4 linked regions of the Nothobranchius furzeri genome follow. The protein of the gene in region 1 interacts with the protein of each later gene in a biochemical or structural test. Links are inferred from orthologs where the notes say so. Each region holds a gene or a part of one and is shown on either strand. Other genes may lie near its edges. The genes, in order: dgkzb, snta1, sntb2 and sntb1.

Region 1 (5,880 bases):
TCAGCTGGTGGTTTGTTTGGATCATTGAAAAAAAGTAATTTATTCTGGGTAAGACCATCATTTTAATTGTAGCAACCCTCCCCATGAGTGATATCGGTAAGGATTTCCCTCTTGCAAGATCATCTTCCACTTTCTTTAAAAGTGGGATGTAGTTTAGTTTGGTTAGATCTGCCAACTTGGGAGAGACATTCATTCCCAGGTATGTGATATTCCCTGACTCCAATTGTGTATTAAGCAAATTGACAAAAGAGAACTTGAATGGTAGAACTGTTGATTTTAACTAGTTTATAGAGTAATCTGAAACTGTTGAAAAAGAGTTTATCAGTTCTATTGCTTGAGAGAGAGGACTGAGAATTCTGGAGAAAAAGTAACATCATCTGCATAAAGATTGATTTTATGGTCTATGTTCTTACACTTTATGCCATTAATACCTGTTGTTTGGCTGATTGCTGCTGCTAGTGGTTTGATAAATATAGCAAACTGTGAGGGGGAGAGTGGGCATCCCTGCCTGGTCCCCCGCTGAAGACAGAAGCTAGCTGATATTTGGTCGTTTGTCCTGACACATGCAGTTGGCGAACTGTATAATGTTTGTAGCCAGTTTATGAAGAAGTTCCTAAACCAAATTTATGTAAAGTTGCAAATAAGACCTTCCAGTTAACCCCATCAAAAGCCTTTTCTGCATCTAGAGATAATATACTAGTTTCTATGTTTCTACTGCAAGAGAAATCTATCAAATTAAGTAATCTACGTGAGTTTGTGGATGACTGTCTACCCTTAATGAAACCAGTTTGGTCAGGGTGTTTTATGAAAGGGGTTACCCTCTCTAATCTTTTTGCCAGGGCTTTACAAATTATTTTGAGATCAATATTAATATGGGAAATTGGGCGATAAATGGAAGGAAATGCAGGGTCTTTGCCTGGTTTTAACAAGACTAATATTGGCTGAATTCATGTTTGGCTGTAATCTGCCGCTCTCTCAGATTTCCCTCACCATTCTGAAGAATGTTGGAGCCAGAATGATCCAGAATTCTTTATAGAACTCTGCTGGGAAAACGTCTGTAACTTCTGCTGGTTACTTACAGTCCAGTCGATGTTACTGTTGGGCTGCAGCAGGTCCGTCTGTCCCAATGTAGACATGTTGGGCTGAATGTTCTGAAGACTCGACTTGGTGATCGCTTTCCTGCAAAGAGAAAAAAACATCTTAAACATTTAATTCTGTCAGTTATTGTAAAAAATCTAATTTAACACAAAACAATCAGGTTAAATGTAAGCGGTCCAGTTTGGCTTTAGAGTTTGTTCATAACTAAATGAATCTGCTTCCATGATTAAAACCTGCAGCTTTGTTCTTATTCAAATTTAAAGTTTGAGAGTTTAAGTTTTTTTTATTAAATAATCTGATGTTTTATCTAAAGGTCTTTAGTTTTGATCCTTTTTAGATGATTTTGCACAAAATAAACGAGGAAAATTCAAACGTGTTGATATGGATAAGCTGAGTTTGTGGTATGAAGAAAACACGAGATCATATTTAAAAGACCCACGCTTACGAAATCGTGTTTTTGACATATTCTTGAGACATTTTTCTTATGCTACAGGTCACATCTAAAGAAATTTAAGCTCAAAATTGTATTTCTGAGTATTTCTGCATTCAAACCGCTGTGAATCAGCAGAAGATGGAAAAAAAGCAGCCTAAAACTAACAGGGTGATGTCACAACCCCAGTGGGTGGAGCACAAACTCCGCTCTGCTCCATCGGGTTCTGAAGAGTATTAACATTCAAATGTCAAATGGATAGCTCAGCTAGTCAGACACCTGACTCAGACGCAGAGGACCAGAGTTTATCAGCACTTCTGCAAAGGCTCGTTCCCACCCGCTCTCTTCTCTCTGGTGACCACGTATTATTGGTGGTCCCTCAATCCAGATGCAAGTCGAGGGGAGATCGTGCTTTTGCAGTCCTTGCTGCAACTTTGTGGAACAGTCTACCTTTGACTGTTAGGCTGGCACCTTCCTTTCAGATGTTTAAAGCCACGTCTGAAGGCCCATTATTATGTCCAGGCATTTTCACCACTAGGCTCTGTAATTTTGTCTTGGTTTTAATTGTTGTGTTTTACCTGTTTTTATGCCGTTTTTACTGTTTTTATTTATTTGTAAATGATAAATGACCCACACTTGTATAGCGCCTCTCAGAGTAAGGACTCCAAAGCGCTTTACCGTACAGTGTATCATTCATCCATTCACACACTGATGGTGATGAGCTACGATGTAGCCACAGCTGCCTTGGGGCGCACCGACAGAGGCTAATCTTTTGGTTGTGTTTATTTTTCGATTGCTTTGTACTGTTGTGCTCGGCACCTTGGGCGTCTGCTAAAGGTCGTGGAAGGTGCTCCATAAATGAATAAATGAAATGATTAATAATAATAAAATAATGACAATAAAAATAATAATAAAGTCATGACAATAATATTATAAATAAAAAATATAATAATGAAAAGAATATTAAGTTATTTATAATAATTGTCATAACAAAGAAATGACTATTATATAAATGATTATGAAGATAATCATGAAAAAATATTAATAAATTTTGACGTTAAAACAAATTTACGTTTTGTTCTTTCTTTAATTCAAATTGAAAAAAATCAACTTTCATCCTCTAAGCCTGAACATCCAATCAAAATCTGTTTCTAGATGTGGAACAGTAGGCGGAGCCTGATTGTTTAAAGGGAACATGTAAAGAACCTTCGTGTGTTTTATGGTTATTTTTCAGACGATGACACCCTGCTGATGCTTCATTAGAACCAGAACCACATGTTCTGACCCGTGGACTGAGTGAGACGAGCAGCAGTGGGACTACATACAGCAGGAGAGCACTCAAGCTGGTTTCATAGCCATGGGCCCCCAGGGGGCTGAGGGCCCCATGGCCCCTGTAGAAGGCTGGATGATGGAGGTAGTACACAGAGTGCTTGCGGCCCCTCCCTGGCCATGGGCTCCCGGCTTTGGAGATGGTGGAGATCTTCCTCCTCTTCATCTGACTGGAGGCTTGATGGCAGGAGGAGTTCCTGCGGAGGCAGCGAGGGGCCCGGAGCAGGGGCCGTGACTGAGAGACAACCTGGGGCGGGTTCCTTAGCACCTGCAAGGAGCAGACGGAGGAGGGGATGGAGGCTGGATAGGCAAGGAATCGGGAAGAGTCAGTCTCTTCTTCTGGCAGTTGCTCTGCCTCAGACAGCTGGCTGCTTTCCGATTGGCTGCTGTTGGGGGAGTAATTGTCACTGTCTTCACCTCTGTCGTATAGGAGGCTGCTGGAGCATGAAAATGATCCCTCATTATTAGCCCCGCCTCTAACTTCCACTTGCTGCTCTCCAGTCGATAACCCCGGCCCCAGCGCACCTTCACCCTCCTCCTCCTCAGCCATCCGGATCAGGCTGGCGAGCAGCATGGACGGACCCAGCAGATGGGTGTCGATGGTCTGCAGCTTCCTCACCTTCCTGCGCTGCACAGCAAACCTCGGGTTCAGGGAGGGGGTGGTGGTGCTGGAGCGCCTGCGGACAGGTCTCACCCTGCCGTGATGAGGCGTTGTCGCCAGGTCACCGCCGCCAGCACAGGGAAGCCCTGGATGAATCTGGATGCTAGAGCGGCGCCGCTGGGTCAAAGCAGAGGAAGGAAGACCAGCGCTGGACCTCCGACGAGCCTTGCTGGTAGGGACAGCAACGCTGGGCCTCCGCTGGCGGCGGGTGGGGGCGTCCATCTCCCCCTGCAGCGCTGCTTCCTTCCTCTTAAAGTGACGACAGAAAAACGTTTCCATGTTGGTTTCAGAGGCAAATCCAAACGACCCGGACTGTGGAAGGTTCTTCTGTGCTGTTGGAGCAGAAATCCGTTAGCCTAAAAGGTTCAAAGGTCACAAGCTCAGTTTTACAAGTACGAGTTTTTTTTATATAATTCCATTGAAGAGCGGCTGAAATTTTATTAGAACTTTTGTCAAATTCAGGTTATTTCAGTGACCATTGTAGGTTTTTCTGTCACACACACACACACACACACACACACACACACACACACACACACACACACACACACACACACACACACACACACACACACACACACACTTCCATCAGAACCTCTGAGGAAGTCACCAGAGCTGAGACCAGAACCAGCTGGATACGTGGACCACCAGAACCACTCTCTGGGTTTAAACAGCAGAACTCACACACTGGGTTGGACTGAACCCATTTCTGCTTTCCCACTTCCTGCAGGCGAGAACCCATTTAGGAAACAGAACTTCTGGCTCTCAGAACCATTGGTGGGTTTGTCTCTTGTGACGGAGTGAGGACCGTCTTCTGGTACCGTGACATCTGATTCGTTTAAGCTGCTAGGACCAAGGCAACATGAATTATTGATCGCCAACAGGAAGTGTGGCAGCAGAAGCACTGTGACAACAGGAAGCGGTCATCGACCAGCAACAACAACAGTACTCAGACACCTGCTGCCTTCCAACACCGTGTCAGCTGTCAGATGGATTTAGAACCCAACTCACATGTCTACTTAATTTTCGGCAGGTGACTCAGTCCCGGTTCTGACCCGGATCTGTTCAGGATTTTTTCAAGAAACTTTACAATTCATGAAAAACCAGGAGAACAAGCTGTTCACTTCCTGTTTACGTTCTGCTTTAACACCTTACAGAACACAACCAGACCTCCCAGAACAACCCAGGTGTGCTGGACCCGGTCTCAGGTGGTTCTGGAGCAGAACTAGTTTAGAGGATTACCCAGGCTTTAGGGAGACAACTGTTATAGGTCTTCACTCTGTCATCAGTGGGTTGCTGGTTCAAACCCAGGGTGTCAGGCACTGTGTCCTTGGGCAAGACACACACACACACACATTCAGATTCACACCCACACGCATGCATGCACACACACACAAGCACACACACACACACATTCAGATTCACACCCACATACATGCATGCACACACACTCATGCTCACACACACACACACACACACACACACACACACACACACACACACACACGTAAACTTCTGCTGTCTCCAATATTTTAGAATTTGAATAAACTTTTCTTGAGTTTGTCGTCTGATTTCTAAACCGGCCCAAAAGTCACCCCAAGGCCCGGTTTTGCTCTATTCGCGGTTCTGAGTAGGAAGCCTCTCTACTCAGCAGCAACGCAAGCTGATTTCTGACAAACATTCATCCAGACTCAAAAAATAAAAGTTGGTTCTGTGTGAAACTAACAGATTAAATAAAGGTTTGTGATTGAATTTAAAGCAACAACAACAACGACAACAGAATCTCAGCTGAATACAACCTGAAGCAGCGATGTCGTAGAGATGAAAGGTAAATCCTCACTGAGGCTCTCTCTCTCTCTCTCTCTCTCTCTCTCTCTCTCTCTCTCTCTCTCTCTCTCTCTCTCTCTCTCTCTCTCTCTCTCTCCCTTCCCTTCCCAGATCACTTCAGCACCAGGGCCTCTCTCTCTCTTCCCAGATCACTTCAGCACCAGGGCCTGAGATGAATGGACCCGCTCTGATGAACAGAACCTCCTCATTAACACATCAAGGGCCATCAGCTGCTGCATTATGGATCCAATTACCCAGAGATGGGGACAGGACGCCGTTTTCTGACTCATCTTTGTCTTCTGCTGGACACCTTTGTTCCTACCAGACTCCGAACCCACTCAGCTCAGCCTGGTCCAGAACTTGTCTGATTATGTTGTCTATCTGAGCATCGCCATGGAGACCATCCTCTCAAACTGAAACCATCAAGGTTTCCAGGACAATCCCAGACCTGTTTCAGGTTCCAACCCCCAAACTGCTAGAGATCTGAAACCAGCAGGAAGTCCATCTGCTTGGACCTGCTCAGCCCACTGGAACC
Region 2 (5,269 bases), on another chromosome or scaffold:
TTTATTGAAATAACAAGTGTAGGCCCACTCCATAAAATTACATGAAAGAAGTAAATATCTGTTATAGGGCTCCCATCACCGATAGCTGCATAGCGATGATGAGTTCACTGGCTGCCTGGCAACAGCAAATGTCTGGTTTTTAGTTCCACTCGATCCATCGTTGAACAAGTCGATCTTGATACTTATCGTCCGACACCGATCAACTGTTTTATCTTATCTTTGGTGAAAAAAGAGAACAGTTACCCTGTCACATTGTTATTCATTGTTAATTCTTCTTTTTATGTCTGTGTGTGTGTGTGTGTGTGTGTGTGTGTGTGTGTGTGTGTGTGTGTGTGTGTGTGTGTGTGTGTGTGTGTGTGCAGGTGTCTCATGGTCCAGAGAGACCTGTTCTGGCTGTGTTGACAGAGAAGGACCTGCTCCTGTATCCAGCCTTTCCTGAAAGCAAAGAGATTATGATCAATCCCACCAAGAGACACCCACTCATCACCACCAGGTCCACACACACACATACCAGTCTCACCTACACACACACGCCCATGTTTTTATAGCAGATCTGTTTCCGCCTATAAGCATTTAAATTTTTTCCACTGGTTGGTTTTGGCCATAGGGTTCGTGCTCACACTTTCCATAACTGTAATCCTGAACATTTTGTCCAACAGCATCATCATCATTTGGAAAACGTTAATGTTAGCAGAACCTATGAGTCATGTATATTTTCCCTTCTATCTCTCAGTTTCACATTTTCCACCTCTAAACAGTTTTCTTCATCTCTAATCCCTAATTATTGTCTCTCTCTCAACCACAGTCTGGTGATATTTTCTTCTTTCTTCCTAAAGGTTGGTCCACTCCGGCCCAGGAAAAAGTTCTCCTCTTTTGGACTCTGAGCTGTCGTTCGGTCTGCGTTCGGGCACCAAGCAGGGCGTGGAGACGCACGTGTTCAGAGTGGGTTCTGCTAAGGAGCTGTCCACCTGGACTCATCTGCTGGTGGAGGGTTGCCACAACGCTGCTGAGCTCATCAAGGAGGTCACTGCAGGTGAACAGATCCGGTCAGAAATAGGTCTCTCTGCATTCATGCTCGGATTGCTCCCCCTAACTAATATAGGTCCAACGCAGGGGTCTACAACCTGCGGCTCTGGAACCACGAGTGGCTCTCTGGACCTTCCACTACGCCTCTTAATAACTTTGACAAAAAAATGATAAAAAAAGGAAATAAAAATCGTCGTCGTCTTCCTCCGCCTATCCGGGTCCGGGTCGCGGGGGCAGCATCCCAACTAGGGAGCCCCAGACCGTCCTCTCCCCTACCACCTCCACCAGTGGCAGGACCCCAAGGCGTTCCCGGACCAGATTGGAGATGTAACCTCTCCAACATGTCCTGGGTCGACCCGGGGGCCTCCTGCCGTCAGGACATGCCCGAAACACCTCCCCAGGGAGGCATCCAGGAGGCATCCTGATCAGATGCCCAAATCACCTCAACTGACTCCTTTTGATCCGGAGGAGCAGCGGTTCTACTCCCGAGTCCCTCCCGAATGTCCGAGCTCCTCACCCTATCTCTAAGGCTGAGCCCGGCCACCCTACGGAGGAAACTCATTTCGGCCGCTTGTATCCGCGATCTCGTTCTTTCGGTCATTACCCAAAGCTCATGACCATAGGTGAGGATTGGGACGTAGATCGACCGGTATATCGAGAGCCTGGCTTTCTGGCTCAGCTCCCTCTTTACCACGACAGATCGGGTCAGCGTTCGCATCACTGCAGATGCTGAACCAATCCGCCTGTTGATCTCCCGATCCCTCCTACCCTCACTCGTGAACAAGACCCCAAGATACTTAAACTCCTCCACTTGAGGTAGGACCTCTCCCCCGACCCGGAGTTGGCAAGCCACCCTTTTCCGGTCGAGAACCATGGTCTCAGATTTGGAGGTGCTGATCCTCATCCCAGCCGCTTCACACTCGGCCATGAACCTACCCAGCAAGAGCTGAAGGACAGAGCTGGATGAAGCTAGGAGGACCACATCATCCGCAAAAAGCAGAGAAAAGATTCTCCTGCCACCAAACTCGACACACTCCACACCACGGCTGCGCCTAGAAATTCTGTCCATAAAGGTAATGAACAGAACCGGTGACAAAGGCAGCCCTGGCGGAGTCCAACCCTCACCGAGAAGAGGTCCGACTTACTACCGGCTATGCGGACCAAACTCACGCTCCTCTGGTAAAGGGAACGAATGGCCCTTAACAGAAAGCCACCCACCCCATACTCCTGGAGCGTCCCCCACAGGGTGCCCCTGGGGACACGGTCATTAGCCTTCTCCAAATCCACAAAGCACATGTGGATTGGTTGGGCAAACTCCCATGCCCCCTCCATCACCCTTGCAAGGGTATAGAGCTGGTCCACAGTTCCACGGCCAGGACGAAAACCACATTGCTCCTCCTCTATCTGAGATTCAACTATCGATCGGACCCTCCTCTCCAGTACCTTGGAGTAGACCTTTCCAGGGAGGCTGACGAGTGTGATCCCCCTATAGTTGGAACACACCCTCTGGTCACCCTTCTTAAAGATGGGGACCACCACCCCGGTCTGCCACTCCACAGGAACTGCCCCCGATGACCACGCAATGTTGCAGAGACGTGTCAACCACGACAGCCCTACAGCATCCATAGCCTTGAGATACCCAGGACGAACCTCATCCGCCCCCGGGCTCCTCCGCTGTGTAGTTGTTTGACTACCTCAGCAACTTCTGCCCCAGAGATTGGACAGTCCATCCCCACTCCCCCGGCTCTGGCTCCTCCTCGGAATGCGTGTAGGTGGGATTGAGGAGCTTATCAAAGTTTTCCTTCCACCGCCCAACTAGTCTGTAGTCGGAAATAAAAATAAAATACTTTATTTGTCTGATATCAAAAAAGTTAAAGAAATGTGTAATCAACAGGGCTGTACCACACTGATGGTTTAAAAAAACTGGTTTTCGCTTTTTTCATGGAAAATTGCACTGAATTACTACAATGGAATGACAAAAAGACCAGTAGTTTTTTCAGGATAGAACTATTTATTTTTAAAGAATGACAAAAGTTCTCGAGAGGAGCCAGTTTAGTTGCATATGATTAGGATGTCTCCTGGATGCCTTTTTTGGTGAGGTGTTTGAAGCACATCCAACCGGGAGGAGACCTAAAGGAAGACCCAGGACATGCTGGAGGAGGAAGAAGAAGAAAATATCATTTCTATAGCGCCTCTCAAGATAAAAATCACGAGGCGCTCAGGAGGGACTATGTCTCTCAGCTGGCCAGGGAGCGCCTTAGGATTCCCCTGGGGGAGCTGGCCCAGGTGGCTGGGGAGAGGGAAATCTGGGCCTCTCTGCTTAGGCTGCTGCCCCCGTGACCCGACTCCAGAGAAGTGGACAGAAATGGATGGAGGGGCAAAAACTTCCCTGTAGTAGATTTTAAGAGAAGAGGATGAGGGCTACTCAAAAAGGTACAATTCTGATGATAATGTCAGCATTCTAACTTTGTTTTTAGTGTTTGTTTTCCAGTGGCCCTATATCTCTTGCGTAGATTTTTATCAAACGGTTTTCTCTTTGCAAAAGATCCTATAACAGTTGTGGTTCTAAACGAGTTATGTTTTGGTTGACTGAGGGGGAATGGGCTCTTTGGATTGTGAAGGTTTCAGTTCCTGGTCTAACCCACAGAACAAAATGATTTAAAGAAAATTCAAGTCCCATCCAAACATATTTGCCTGTTTGTACTGAACAGCTCTGCAGCACAGTTATTCGGACCTATTAGAGGTGCAGCGGTCAACCTACATAGCCTGGCAGCAATGTTGTTTTACTGCCACCTGCTGGTATTATTAGGCAACACAAGCACTTTTTACACTAACTGGTTTGACTTTGGTGTGGTGGAGGTTTTGATTCAAAAGCATTTGAAACTTTCTTGCAATAGAAATGAATTAGAATTTTTAGCATGATAAAATAAAACATAGAAGTGATTTGGAACATGTTGAATACTTGTTGAACTTTTATAAAACTGCTGTCTTTGCTCTCCACTGCAGACTGCAGCTGGAACGGAAAGGACTGCACTCTGGGAGTCCACATCAATGACGGTTTCACGCTATTCACAGAAGAAATGGGTGTCAGGAAGAATATTCTCCTCCAGCAGCCCTTCGAGCGCCTCCGAATGTCCTCGGATGATGGAGTTCGGATGATGTTCCTGGACTTTGGAGGCCCTGAGGCTGAGATTGTGAGCTGCCTCTTCTTGAATTTCATTAACATTATAATAGTGCAGTTAAAGCACGAAGAGTGAGATGCTAGACTGGAAATGTCAAACCTGAGAGGAGGATTGTGACTGGAGACAATCTGCTAAACTGATTTACACAGACACAGTGCATGTCGGGAAAAAATGAGTGTGAACCGTTGAGACGTGGTGATAGTGTCGCTAATATTTCATCATTTGTCGTGTTCAGTAATTAACTTTGTAGTACTCCATGTAGAGGTGTTAGCATTGCTAATGGAGTCAATAGAAGGTGCTAAAATCCACAGCACGGTGATTCTTAGACATGTAGAAAACCCTATAATAGCCAGTGGCTCGAGTCCTCTGACTGTTTAAAAAAATAAAATTAGCAAAAATAAAAGACCAAACACAAATGTTAAAGATGCAGCTCAATTTTAATTGGCTGCAGTGATACTAGAACCCTTAAATTTCCATCATACAGGTTTGTTAGTACAATTAAAAGCCAGTGGAAATAAACTGGTTTTAAGAGATTTGAAATGGTCAGTTTGAGATTATGAGGCGTGTAACTAGCAATCACAGACTTGCATTAATTTCTGTTTGAGTCCATGTTATGAGACAAATGATGTTGTTTACACCGAATCAGCCAAAGCCTGCTCTTCTCTAAACAGTGAACAACATAGTGATGCAGTGCAGTGGTTCACAACCTTTTTTACACCAGGAGCCCCTTGCCTGGGTGTTTAATCTTGTTAACCTCACAGACAAAATTATGGGGACCCCAGCAATCTTATGAAACCCCCATTAGGAAGTAGGGTTGTCACGGTGTGAAAATTTAATCTCACTGTTATTGTGACCAAAATTATCACGGTTTTCGGTATTATCGCAGTATTTTTTTAAATGCGTTACATTTTCAGACAATTAAATAAACCATATATCAGGAAAATTTTGTCCTCAGTTTGTGTCTAAATGTTGTCAAAAATTTGTTATTTTGTAATTATGTTGTTTGTTTACATTTTTCCTCTTTAGTCTTTAAAATACCAATATTTGCCCATAACTTCTTA
Region 3 (5,411 bases), about 6.0 Mb from region 1:
TGCTGACCAACAATCAGAACAATCTGTTTGCTTCTGACAGAATGAAAAAGAAATAATTCACTCACAGCAGCAGCTGGAACTACATTCATCATCTGACGGACAAAAGAAAAAACAGTGGCCAAAACTGCAGTCTAGATGCACCAGAATGCAGAGTTTAACACTTATTTTTCTAATATTTCTAAGGAAGCATTTATTTTATTCATAAACCGTGCTGCCCAGCTCTACTTGTTATGGGATTAAATACATTCAACTGTGTTCACTTATTATCACACCCAAGTCTTCCTCTCATCAGCAACCTAAAACCATCTCACTCTTCACTGTAGCACCTCAGCAGGTCTGGCTCTCCCTGTCTCACCCTCAGCAGGACTGGCTCTGCCTGTCTCACCCTCAGCAGGACTGGCTCTGCCTGTCTCACCCTCAGCAGGACTGGCTCTCCCTGTCTCACCCTCAGCAGGACTGGCTCTGCCTGTCTCACCCTCAGCAGGACTGGCTCTGCCTGTCTCACCCTCAGCAGGACTGGCTCTCCCTGTCTCACCCTCAGCAGGTATGGCTCTCCCTGTCTCACCCTCAGCAGGACTGGCTCTGCCTGTCTCACCCTCAGCAGGACTGGCTCTGCCTGTCTCACCCTCAGCAGGTATGGCTCTCTCTGTCTCACCCTCAGCAGGTATGGCTCTCCCTGTCTCACCCTCAGCAGGTATGGCTCTCCCTGTCTCACCCTCAGCAGGACTGGCCCTGCCTGTCTCACCCTCAGCAGGCCTGGCCCTGCCTGTCTCACCCTCAGGAGGTTCCTGCTGAACTTCCTCTGATCTCTAGTACAAAAACAGTGGACATTACTGTTGGAGGACTAGTGCAACATTAAAATCATGGTTGTTATAGTGTTATTTAGTCGTGTTCACTTGTTATCATGCTCGAATCTTCCTCTCATCATCAACCATCTAAAATCTCACTCTTCATTGTAGCACCTACCTGCACCTCAGCAGGTCTGGTGCTCCCTGTCTCACCCTCAGCAGGTATGGCTCTCCCTGTCTCACCCTCAGCAGGTATGGCTCTCCCTGTCTCACCCTCAGCAGGTATGGCTCTCCCTGTCTCACCCTCAGCAGGTCTGGTGCTCCCTGTCTCACCCTCAGCAGGTATGACTCTCCCTGTCTCACCCTCAGCAGGTATGGCTCTCCCTGTCTCACCCTCAGCAGGTATGGCTCTCCCCGTCTCACCCTCAGCAGGACTGGCGCTGCCTGTCTCACCCTCAGCAGGTATGGCTCTGCCTGTCTCACCCTCAGCAGGTCTGGCACTGCCTGTCTCACCTTCTTCATCATTTTGCTGCTGAACTTCCTCTGGTCTCTCATATGAAAAAAGTGACATGAATAAGGTTTAAAAATAAAATGTGATGAGAATGTCACAAACAAGCAACAATCACATTTACAAACTCCATTTTTATGTGGAGATTCTACTTTATTTATTTCGTGTCAAATGGTTTTTGTCTGTTACTGTAAAATCGTGTTAAATTCGCCATTTTTTGTTGACTAGTAGTGTTGTTTAACGTTTAATGCTGCCTAGCAAGATGTTTACGTTAGTCAGCCAGTCTAACGTTTGACCAGAAATACAATTATCCTCTTGGACTAAATTATTACCGAGTCACAATTCCTTTCTTTCTCTTATTGCCCATGAGAAGAAGCTGTTGTCGTCCAGGTCCCGCTCCTGTCTAACTCCCTGAGGGGAGGGGCTGTGTCAGTGAGAAGTCTGCAGCGTCTTTCAAAATAAAAGCTCACGAGTCAAATATTTCAAAATCAATTTTTTTCTTCTCCGTGTTATTGGGGGGGACAAATGCGCGTTTGTCCAATATTGGAGGGGACACGTCCCCCCCACCCCCCACCCCCGGTTCCTACGCCCTTGATGCATTCCGTATATTAGTAATTGCGTTTATAAACCATTAGCAAAACAATTTATTCTAAATAAAATATTCTTGCTCATATTACACCTATTACACACAGGACCACAAATCATGATAACACACACACACACACACACACACACACACACACACACACACACACACACACACACACACACACACACACACACACATCGAGAGTGTAATATGGGCTACATTGTTTTATTTTGAAAGGCCTAAACGGATGTGTCTTTGTTGTAGCTATGCTAGCTTTCCGGTGAGGTTGGACAGCTTTACGGAATCGGATTGAACTCCTCAGCAAGACCTCCGAGGCTGCCCCGTAGCAGCCGCTTCTCCTCCTCCCCCTGTTTTGTGGGAGTCCCGTGTTTCTCCCCCCTCTCTCCCTCTCCTCGGCGGGAGTGGGTGTGTCGATGCGAGCCAGTGCTGCCGCTTGTGCGCACTCACAAAAAAAGAGAGGAAAAAGTTGACGATGAGTTTAGAGTAGCGGCGGCCCGCCTCGGAGCAGGCTAACGACAGTCCAGGAATGGCAATTTGGACCAGAGCGGATAAAAATGGTCAGCTGGACCTTCTGCTTCGGGACCGCTGGATCCGAGTGGCTGCAGAACTCACACGGGAGACGCTGACTCTAACAGCCGAATCGGAGGTGACCGGACAGGCGGGCAACCACTGGGACTGCTCTTCGGCTGGCCTGCGAAATGGCATGTCGAACGGAAATGATCCGGGAACGAGTGTGGGGATCCCTGGCCGCCGTTCGTCCTCAGGTCAAGACCAGCTTCAGAACCACGGGGTGCGAGGGCGCAGTAGCAGCCCGGGTCGAGGAGGCGTCAACCGCGGCCAGTACAGCCCTGGAAAGTACCCGATTAACGGCACAAACTCTGACTTCGGAAGCCCCGGCTCTAGTTACGGTAGTCCAGGGTCAAGCTTTGGGTCGAGACAAGGCGATTTCCCGGTCAGCCTGGACGGGTCCTCCGAAGCTGTGCGTAAAGTCCGAGTAGTTAAACAAGAGTCTGGCGGGCTGGGGATCAGTATCAAAGGGGGGCGCGAGAACCGGATGCCCATCCTCATCTCCAAGATCTTCCCTGGACTCGCTGCAGACCAGAGCCGGGCTCTCCGGGTGGGCGACGCAATCCTGTCGGTGAACGGGACCGAGCTCCGGGAGGCAACGCATGACATGGCGGTCCAGGCGCTCAAGAAGGCGGGGAAAGAGGTGACGCTGGAGGGTGAGTTGGCCAACGCGAGAGCGCGGTTTTGAAAAGGCCTCCAGAGGTCCGACTGCACACCTATCCCTGTCACATCCATGCGCTGGCATCAGTGTCACTTCAGTTACTCTTTAAACACTAAAGGTATGCCTCAAATAACAATTCAGCTACAAACTATAATAAAATATTCCAAACTCAACAAGTTACCAGTGTGACGTAAGTCAGCTGATCCTTCATGAATAGCTGTCACACACGTTCATCTCGTTTGCAGCTTCCCAAAGCCAGGCGTGTTTGCTTTACACGTTAGAATTCAGACCCAAACAAACACGGTCTGTGTTGATCTATGAGCAGCAGAAGTGAGCTTAAATCAAATCAAATCAACACAAAGCCTTTGGTTGGTGTAAACACGAGTGCAACCAGAGTTGTGGTCAGGACCAGATACATTTCACTCTGGATGTTTGAACGACGGGCTTGTTGGAGATAAGAGGCCGCAGCAAACGTGACCAGATGAGATTTGTTTTTGTGTAAATGCACCAAAAAGCCCATAAAATAATAAAGGGCTTCTCTGTTTTTACGTTTTATCTTTGACATCAATGATTGTAATCTCATTTCTGATTGGCTGTGGATGATTCTATTTATGGCCAAATACATTTTAAACTCGCAAAGAAAATATAATCTGGCTTACCGAATGATATTCATCAGGTAAATACACAAATAACTAATGGAAAGTTGGGGGTTTTCTGGAGATATTCTGAGAAATAAAGATGTGTTTAATAGAAATGGACATTAGTCAAACTTCCATCCGTGTGCATTTTGAAAGTGCACATAACATTTTAGGTAAATGCTCGTCACGTGTGCAAAAAAAAAGTTGCTGAACGTGTCCTTATTCTGATTTAGTTTCATTAAAGCGGGTTTGTTTCGCTTTAGTAAAAACTACAACTGCTACTTTGTTGAATCCAGTCCTTCATCTTGGCCTTCTGGCATGAAGCAAGCAGTCTTGTTGATTTGCTTAAAATGAAAGTTCCCTAAATTACACTTTATTTTAACTCATTCGCTGCCAGCGTTTCTCACCGTTTTTACTGTTTTTTTAAGAGTGACAGAACGTTGCGCGCTAGGATGATGTCGACGCCAAAACAACCAAAACAAAGCAGAGACTCACCTCTTACATCAGGAAGAATCCGCGCGTTTCGAGCGTTTTCCGTTCTTTCGTAATCCGTTGTTGAATTGTGATCGGCAGAAGCTTTTCCGGTTCGCGCCTCACTTTTTTTACAGCAGCGTAGGGTTGTCACGATACTAAAATTTCAAACTCGATTCGATACTGGAAAAAAAACTCGATACTCGATTTTGATACTATTTAAAAACACCAATTTATTGAACACGTTTATTCAAAAAATAACATTCCTCAATTTATATTGCAAAAATTAAATGTTAAGAATTAAGTGTGTAAAGTGCTTAAACCTTTCAAGTATCAGCATTTTTTAAAACGTGCATACAAAAACACTTTAAATCATGAATTGTCTCACTATATAGACACTATTTGCAGAGTGATGTTTTGCTGCTTAAACTCTGTTTAAGGTGCATTTTTGTTATAAGATGTAATGCCATATGTTTTGTTCTGTACTTTTGAACAACTCTGTTGGTCAATAAAGGGAGAAAACGAATTTCTCCACAGTAGGACAAAGGTACATCTACCGGTAATCTTAATAAAAACAGATTGGCGAGCGGCAGTGACGTCATTAAAAGCGCCGGTTAGATTAGCCGCAGCTAGTCTGTTCACGCCTAGAAATCCCAGACCAGACCCGCTCCAAACGAACAGGGGAATCACGTTAATGATTCCTAACAAAACCTTTCGACATGAAGATGTCTTGGTGCAGATAATGTCTTATTTCGAGGCTGCACATGGGTGCCCATCCGCACCCGTTATATGGATATACGCTGACGGCGATTCGGCGATGGATCTAAATACCCCGGGGAATCCAAGCAGCACCAAAGTTGTCAGCGTGAGTAAACAAACGTACTGCATGCTAGAAATTAAGTCCGGGTTGCAATAAACGGGAGTTTCCTTTAAGCACATAAGCGTGAATATACAACTACGTGTCGGACTTGGTATGCTAATTAAGTTGGGCTGTGAAGCGCCTCCCAAATTCGCTGTTTATGTTTTTGTTTATTTATTTGGCAGACAAAACTTGGATCGGAGACAACTCGCGTGGGAAATTGCAATGTAGCCATGCGGCGTCTTCTTCTGTTTGTCTGGGAGGCGGAGGCTGCTTTACGGCATCTGGCTGTGGTGCGTGTCGGTGTAC
Region 4 (5,352 bases), on another chromosome or scaffold:
ACTTCAGCGCACAGCAGAAGCTCCTCCAGAGTTGTGTTATTTGTGAAGATAAAACATTCACGTTGCAAGTCAGTAGTACAGTCGCGTTGCTGTTATCCAATCCGAGGAGAGATTTCCAAATATCAGGAAATAAGACTCCAAACATCTCCAGCTGACTTCTCCCTGCTGACACAGGCACTTCCTCAGCTTATTTTCCCACCCGAGTACGACATTCATTCCTACTGCAAATGCATCGATTAAACTAGTGCTCCACAGCTGTACACATGAAACAATGTCTCCCATAGACTCTAATCTCTCTGCTTTGTAACATCATCAACATGTTCAAATCCTCCACAATCCAGTACCACCATAGTCCTATCTGAGGGTTGTGTTCACAGCATGCTCCAACACAGTTTGGCACAAAAAAAAAAAAAAAAACAGAGAGAATTCTGCAGAAGCTTGACATAAAAGTCCTGCGAATGCTCACAGATGTTTTCATTTACCCGGGAGCTGAGATAGCGTATCTCCAATAGGAATGACACGCGGAATGAACACAAACGGGAGTAGAAGAAGTGTTTCCGCTCAACAACCACATCAGATCGCTTGTTAAATCTAGATTTTTACATTTAAAGAAGCTGGCAAAGCCAATCCTGTCCCAGGATTATTCCACGCCTTTGTTACGACTCGGCTGCACTAATGCTATGGTCTTCATGTAGGACTAAGTGACACCTGCATCTCTCAGCTTCGGAGAGTACAACATGCTGCTGCCCACCTCTTAACCAGAACAGGGAAGCTTGATCACATCTCCTTTGTTCTGTATTCTTTGCACTAATTCCTTTTAGGATTCATTTAAAAATTATTTTATGTGCTTTTAAATCTCCTCATTTCCCCACCATACCTTACTTAAGCGTCTACACCCATATATCTCCTCCCGTTCCCTCAGGCCAGCTGATCAGCTGCTCCTGACTGTCCCAAAGACGAAGCACCAGCTTAGACGAGATTGAGCTTTTGCTGCAGCAGCTCCTAGATTGTGGAAAGACCTTCCTTTAAATATCCGACAGGCCTCTTAAATGTCTGATAAACCACTGCTGAAGACCCACCTCATCTCTCTGGTTTTGACACCATCCGAGATGTCGGCTTTAACTGCATTTTATTTGTTTGTTTTCAACCCTATTTGATTCTGCTCAGTTTATCGTTTTTACTTTCTTGCTGTTTTTTTATTCTAGGTTCTGGTTTTATTGTTGATTCTGTTGTTTTTATTGTTCTGTGTACAGCACTTTGGTCCTTCAGGTGCTTTAGTGCTATAAAGTTGTTATGGAATGGTTCTTAACTACTCACACCAATGGTACTACTACTACTACTACTACTACTATTACTGCTGCTGCTGCTGCTAGATACTTACCAGCCTTGACAGGCTTTCAGCCACCAGAGTCAAATGTCATACACAACCACCAAGCTGCAGAAGTTTGTTTTGAGTTAAAATTTGCAGAAGTTCACAAAACTCCATCACGCTAATTAGAGAATGCATTTTTCACCTGAATCGGTGCAAAGTTGACCAGGAGTTAGATGATGAATGATAGAGAAACTAAACAGACAACAAAAAGGTAAAGCTGTGACGCATGCTGCCTCCCAGATAGAAGAATCTGAGGTGAACCCGACTTTTCCACAAAGGAGGAGGGACCCAGGGGAGGAAAAACATTTCCCAGGACGGTCCGTGCTGAATGAGGCCGGCCACGAGGGAAGAGTGGGGATATTTTGCCGCAATTCTCTAAACGACCAATACTCTGTACCAAACAGCACGAGCTGATGCTTAAATATCATTCTTTCCTATAAATAGTAAGTGCTTTGTCTGCATCCTCCATTTGGCTGTCACATTATATCTCAAACCCCGCTCCGTCTCCCGGGATGTGGGAGTCTGTATGTAAGCATGATGCTTTATATTGTAGATTTAGGATTTCTTGACCTAAGGCAGTGCTTAGCGCTGTGGCCTCAAATCTCCCCGGATGGTTTATGTCACTGAAAGCTGGAACGCGCTTATAGGAGGCGTAGCTCAATCCAGCAAAGTGACCTGGTGCAAATCCCTGTGAGCTTTTCTGCTTCTGTGCATCTGAAGCAATATTAAAAACATCCGTTTTGATGAACCTGAACAACGATTGTCTCGAGACTCACTTGTTGTGACTTCTTTGATCATCTCAGCTGATGAGTGGCATCCGTTGACTATGTGCCTGGTCCAAAGGGACAGATCCTTGGTGGTCTCAGCTCGGAAAAGGTGACTTTCAATGCCAAGTCGTGTGCCGGTCCGAGTGGCGAAGAACAGCTCCGTGCCGGAGTGAGGTGAACCCCGGTCAGGCCCGGAGTGGACAAGGCTACATTCATCCATTCACACATTTGATGAGGAGAAGCAGGAAAACATTTTTCAGCACACATAATCAGCTTTTTTTGTTTTGGACTCACCGTGTGGCTAAAAGTGGAAAGGTGTGTGCCGGGCTCTGCCAGGCCTCTTTTCCTCTCGGTAAGCTGTCGTACAGCAACAGGTCTTTCTCCGTCACCACCACCAGCACCGGCTTCCAGCTCTGTTTCTCACTCTCCGTCTGCGACACAAACAGATCAACAATGAGGAGGGAACAGCTGCTCCCATCCTCCCATCTGCTGAGTAATGAAGGGCTTTGATTCAAATGAAAACTGAAATAAACAAATAAATAAAATGCTCTTTCTTCTGGTCAGTGGTTTTATTAACAGATTAGTTCACTGGATAGTGAGATGAAACAAAACTTGCCAAAGCCTGTAGAAAGCCTCCTGTTTGCTTAAATGGGTTACTGTTTCACTTTATTAAAGTGGTTACAGAACTCCTAGCGTGTGTGTGTGTGTGTGCGTGCGTGCGTATGTAACTGTTACTTTAATAGTCATTACAAAATTCACAGGGGAGAGACATTTCTTCCCATTTGCAAATCAAATTTGAGCATAGAGGCCTAACAAAGACAAAAACACTTGAAAGGTCCTCGACAAATGAATAATTATAACCAAACACATGACAAAGCAATGCCGAGAGATTAACCAAACAATTTATCCTGGCAGGTCACTTGTTTTGAATTTGATTACTTTCCTGCAGCACAGTCTGAAGTACGCTCTTTTATATTTTTTCACAAACACTTAAATCAGAGAGAGGGCTGGTGATGTGTGTGTGTGTGTGTGTGTGTGTGTGTGTGTGTGTGTGTGTGTGTTTGGTGTGCAAAATGTGTGTCGGTTCCACCAAAACATGTATTTAAATTCACTATTGTGTATCCAAAAGGGAATGAGCTAAAAAGGAAGGTGTTCAGATGCAGTTATACTTATGCATCTGCTGTGCTGTGCCCCCTCACTCACTCACCTACAAGCGTACCACTTACACACACACACGCGGGCGCGCGCACACACACACACACACACACACACACACACACACACACACACACACACACACGTGTAAACACACACAAAAAGAGGCACATTCATGCGTTTTTTTATGTGACAATGCTGCAGAAGTATTCTCATAATGAGAGCTTATCTGGAATCCTAAGCTGCTCTTTGAAGTTCTGCCTCAACCAATCACACTCTGAGATTCAGAAGGTTAAGGGTCATCGTTTTAACATAACGAGGATATGTTGCTAAGTAACAGTATTGTACCGCATTTGGAGGATAAAGTATCGGCAAATGCGTGAGGACTAAATTAAACAGATATAGGTGTGTGTGTGTGTGTGTGTGTGTGTGTGTGTGTGTGTGTGTGTGTTTGCACAGGTGTTTTATTATGTACAAAGGAGTGAAGCTCTATCTGTCTGTGCTTGCTTGTGTGAAGCATGCAACCCATGATGCAACCACACATGCACATATACAAGCATGGATTATTTCCCCTATTTACACAATAAAAAAACAATGTTGAATCCAAAAATACAAATTCTTTAAGGCACACAGCTGACATGGACTGAACTGTAAATTATATGATAAAATTAGCTATTTCTCTAAAACAGCCGGATTTGAAAAGTCCTTCATTTGCTGCAGTTTGCAAAAGGTTTTAAAATATGCTGCACTTGTAACTCAGTCAATGAAAAGAAATAGCTAAACACAGATCATGCATGCTGTATCTAAATAAGACTGACATTAGAGAATTTAAGCCACTAAATACATTTAAAATCAACACAAATATGTGAAAATATAAGAAGATGCAATAATGTGACTAAAAGTAATGTTTATTTTAAATCTTGAAAAAAGAACACAATATTTTATTAAAGATATTATACAGTTACTTAGCTGCCCTATTTTAAGTCTTAAGGGAGCCCATGATCATACCTATTACCAATGGAGAGCGTTTCATTGACCTCTGTTGTTGCCAACAAAGGTTATGTTACAAAGTATTGAGTTGAATTTTTGTTATTGACCAAATACTTATTTTCCACCCTGATTTACAAATAAATTCTTTAAAAATCCTGCCATTTGAATTCATAGATTTTTTTTCACATTCTGTCTCTCACAGTTGAAGTGTACCTATGATGAAAATTACTGACCTCTGTCATCATTTTAAGTGGGACAACTTGCACAATCGGTGGCTGACTAAATACTTTGTTGCCCCACTGTATAGAGGTTAAAAAGCACTGGGCCTAGAATTGAACCCTGAGGCACACCGCATGTGATGCTGTGGACCCCGGAGCCACAGTGTACAGGAGTATGCAGGAAATGGGCTACAGGTGCCGCATTCCCCAGGTCAAGCCACGAGAAACAGCGTCAGAAGCGCCTGACCTGGGCTACAGAGAAGCAGCACTGGACTGTTGCTCAGTGGTCCAAAGTACTTTTTTCAGATGAAAGCAAATTTTGCATGTCATTCAGAAATCAAGGTGCCAGAGTCTGGAGGAAGACTGGGCAGAGGGAAATGCCAAAATGCCTGAAGTCCAGTGTCAAGTACCCACAGTCAGTGATGGTCTGGGGTGCCACGTCAGCTGCTGGTGTTGGTCCACTGTGTTTTATCAAGGGCAGGGTCAGTGCAGCTAGCTATCAGGAGATGCTTCCATCTGCTGAAAAGCTTTATGGAGATGAAGATTTCATTTTTCAGCACGACCTGGCACCTGCTCACAGTGCCAAAGCCACTGCTAAATGGTTTACTGACCATGGTGTTACTGCGCTCAACTGGCCTGCCAACTTTCCTGACCTGAACCCCGTAGAGAATCTGTGGGATATTGTGAAGAGAAAGTTGAGAGACGCAAGACCCAACACTCTGGATGAGCTTAAGGCCGCTATCGAAGCATCCTGGGCCTCCATAACACCTCAGCAGTGCCACAGGCTGATTGCCTCCATGCCACGCCGCATTGAAGCAGTCATTTCTGCAAAAGGATTCCCGACCAAGTA

Evidence for each region.
Region 2: the proteins of dgkzb (region 1) and snta1 form a complex in vitro, tested with the Homo sapiens proteins (2 studies listed by BioGRID and IntAct, with this or other methods). The link is inferred for Nothobranchius furzeri from reciprocal best matches to the Homo sapiens genes DGKZ and SNTA1.
Region 3: the proteins of dgkzb (region 1) and sntb2 form a complex in vitro, tested with the Homo sapiens proteins (2 studies listed by BioGRID and IntAct, with this or other methods). The link is inferred for Nothobranchius furzeri from reciprocal best matches to the Homo sapiens genes DGKZ and SNTB2.
Region 4: the proteins of dgkzb (region 1) and sntb1 form a complex in vitro, tested with the Homo sapiens proteins (2 studies listed by BioGRID and IntAct, with this or other methods). The link is inferred for Nothobranchius furzeri from reciprocal best matches to the Homo sapiens genes DGKZ and SNTB1.

What each region holds. Positions count from the first base shown.
Region 1 is NC_091744.1:80,269,454-80,275,333, reverse strand, and holds the start of dgkzb (diacylglycerol kinase zeta), read right to left. Parts: upstream 3,880-5,880; 5' UTR 3,798-3,879; coding exon 2,854-3,797; intron 1,180-2,853; coding exon 1,080-1,179; intron 1-1,079. UniProt on the Homo sapiens protein: Diacylglycerol kinase that converts diacylglycerol/DAG into phosphatidic acid/phosphatidate/PA and regulates the respective levels of these two bioactive lipids.
Region 2 is NC_091743.1:60,426,697-60,431,965, forward strand, and holds part of snta1 (alpha-1-syntrophin), read left to right. Parts: intron 1-362; coding exon 363-493; intron 494-836; coding exon 837-1,033; intron 1,034-4,032; coding exon 4,033-4,220; intron 4,221-5,269. UniProt on the Homo sapiens protein: Adapter protein that binds to and probably organizes the subcellular localization of a variety of membrane proteins. May link various receptors to the actin cytoskeleton and the extracellular matrix via the dystrophin glycoprotein complex.
Region 3 is NC_091744.1:86,308,937-86,314,347, forward strand, and holds the start of sntb2 (beta-2-syntrophin), read left to right. Parts: upstream 1-2,289; 5' UTR 2,290-2,432; coding exon 2,433-3,129; intron 3,130-5,411. UniProt on the Homo sapiens protein: Adapter protein that binds to and probably organizes the subcellular localization of a variety of membrane proteins. May link various receptors to the actin cytoskeleton and the dystrophin glycoprotein complex.
Region 4 is NC_091745.1:41,748,131-41,753,482, forward strand, and holds part of sntb1 (beta-1-syntrophin), read right to left. Parts: intron 2,571-5,352; coding exon 2,434-2,570; intron 2,346-2,433; coding exon 2,149-2,345; intron 1-2,148. UniProt on the Homo sapiens protein: Adapter protein that binds to and probably organizes the subcellular localization of a variety of membrane proteins. May link various receptors to the actin cytoskeleton and the dystrophin glycoprotein complex.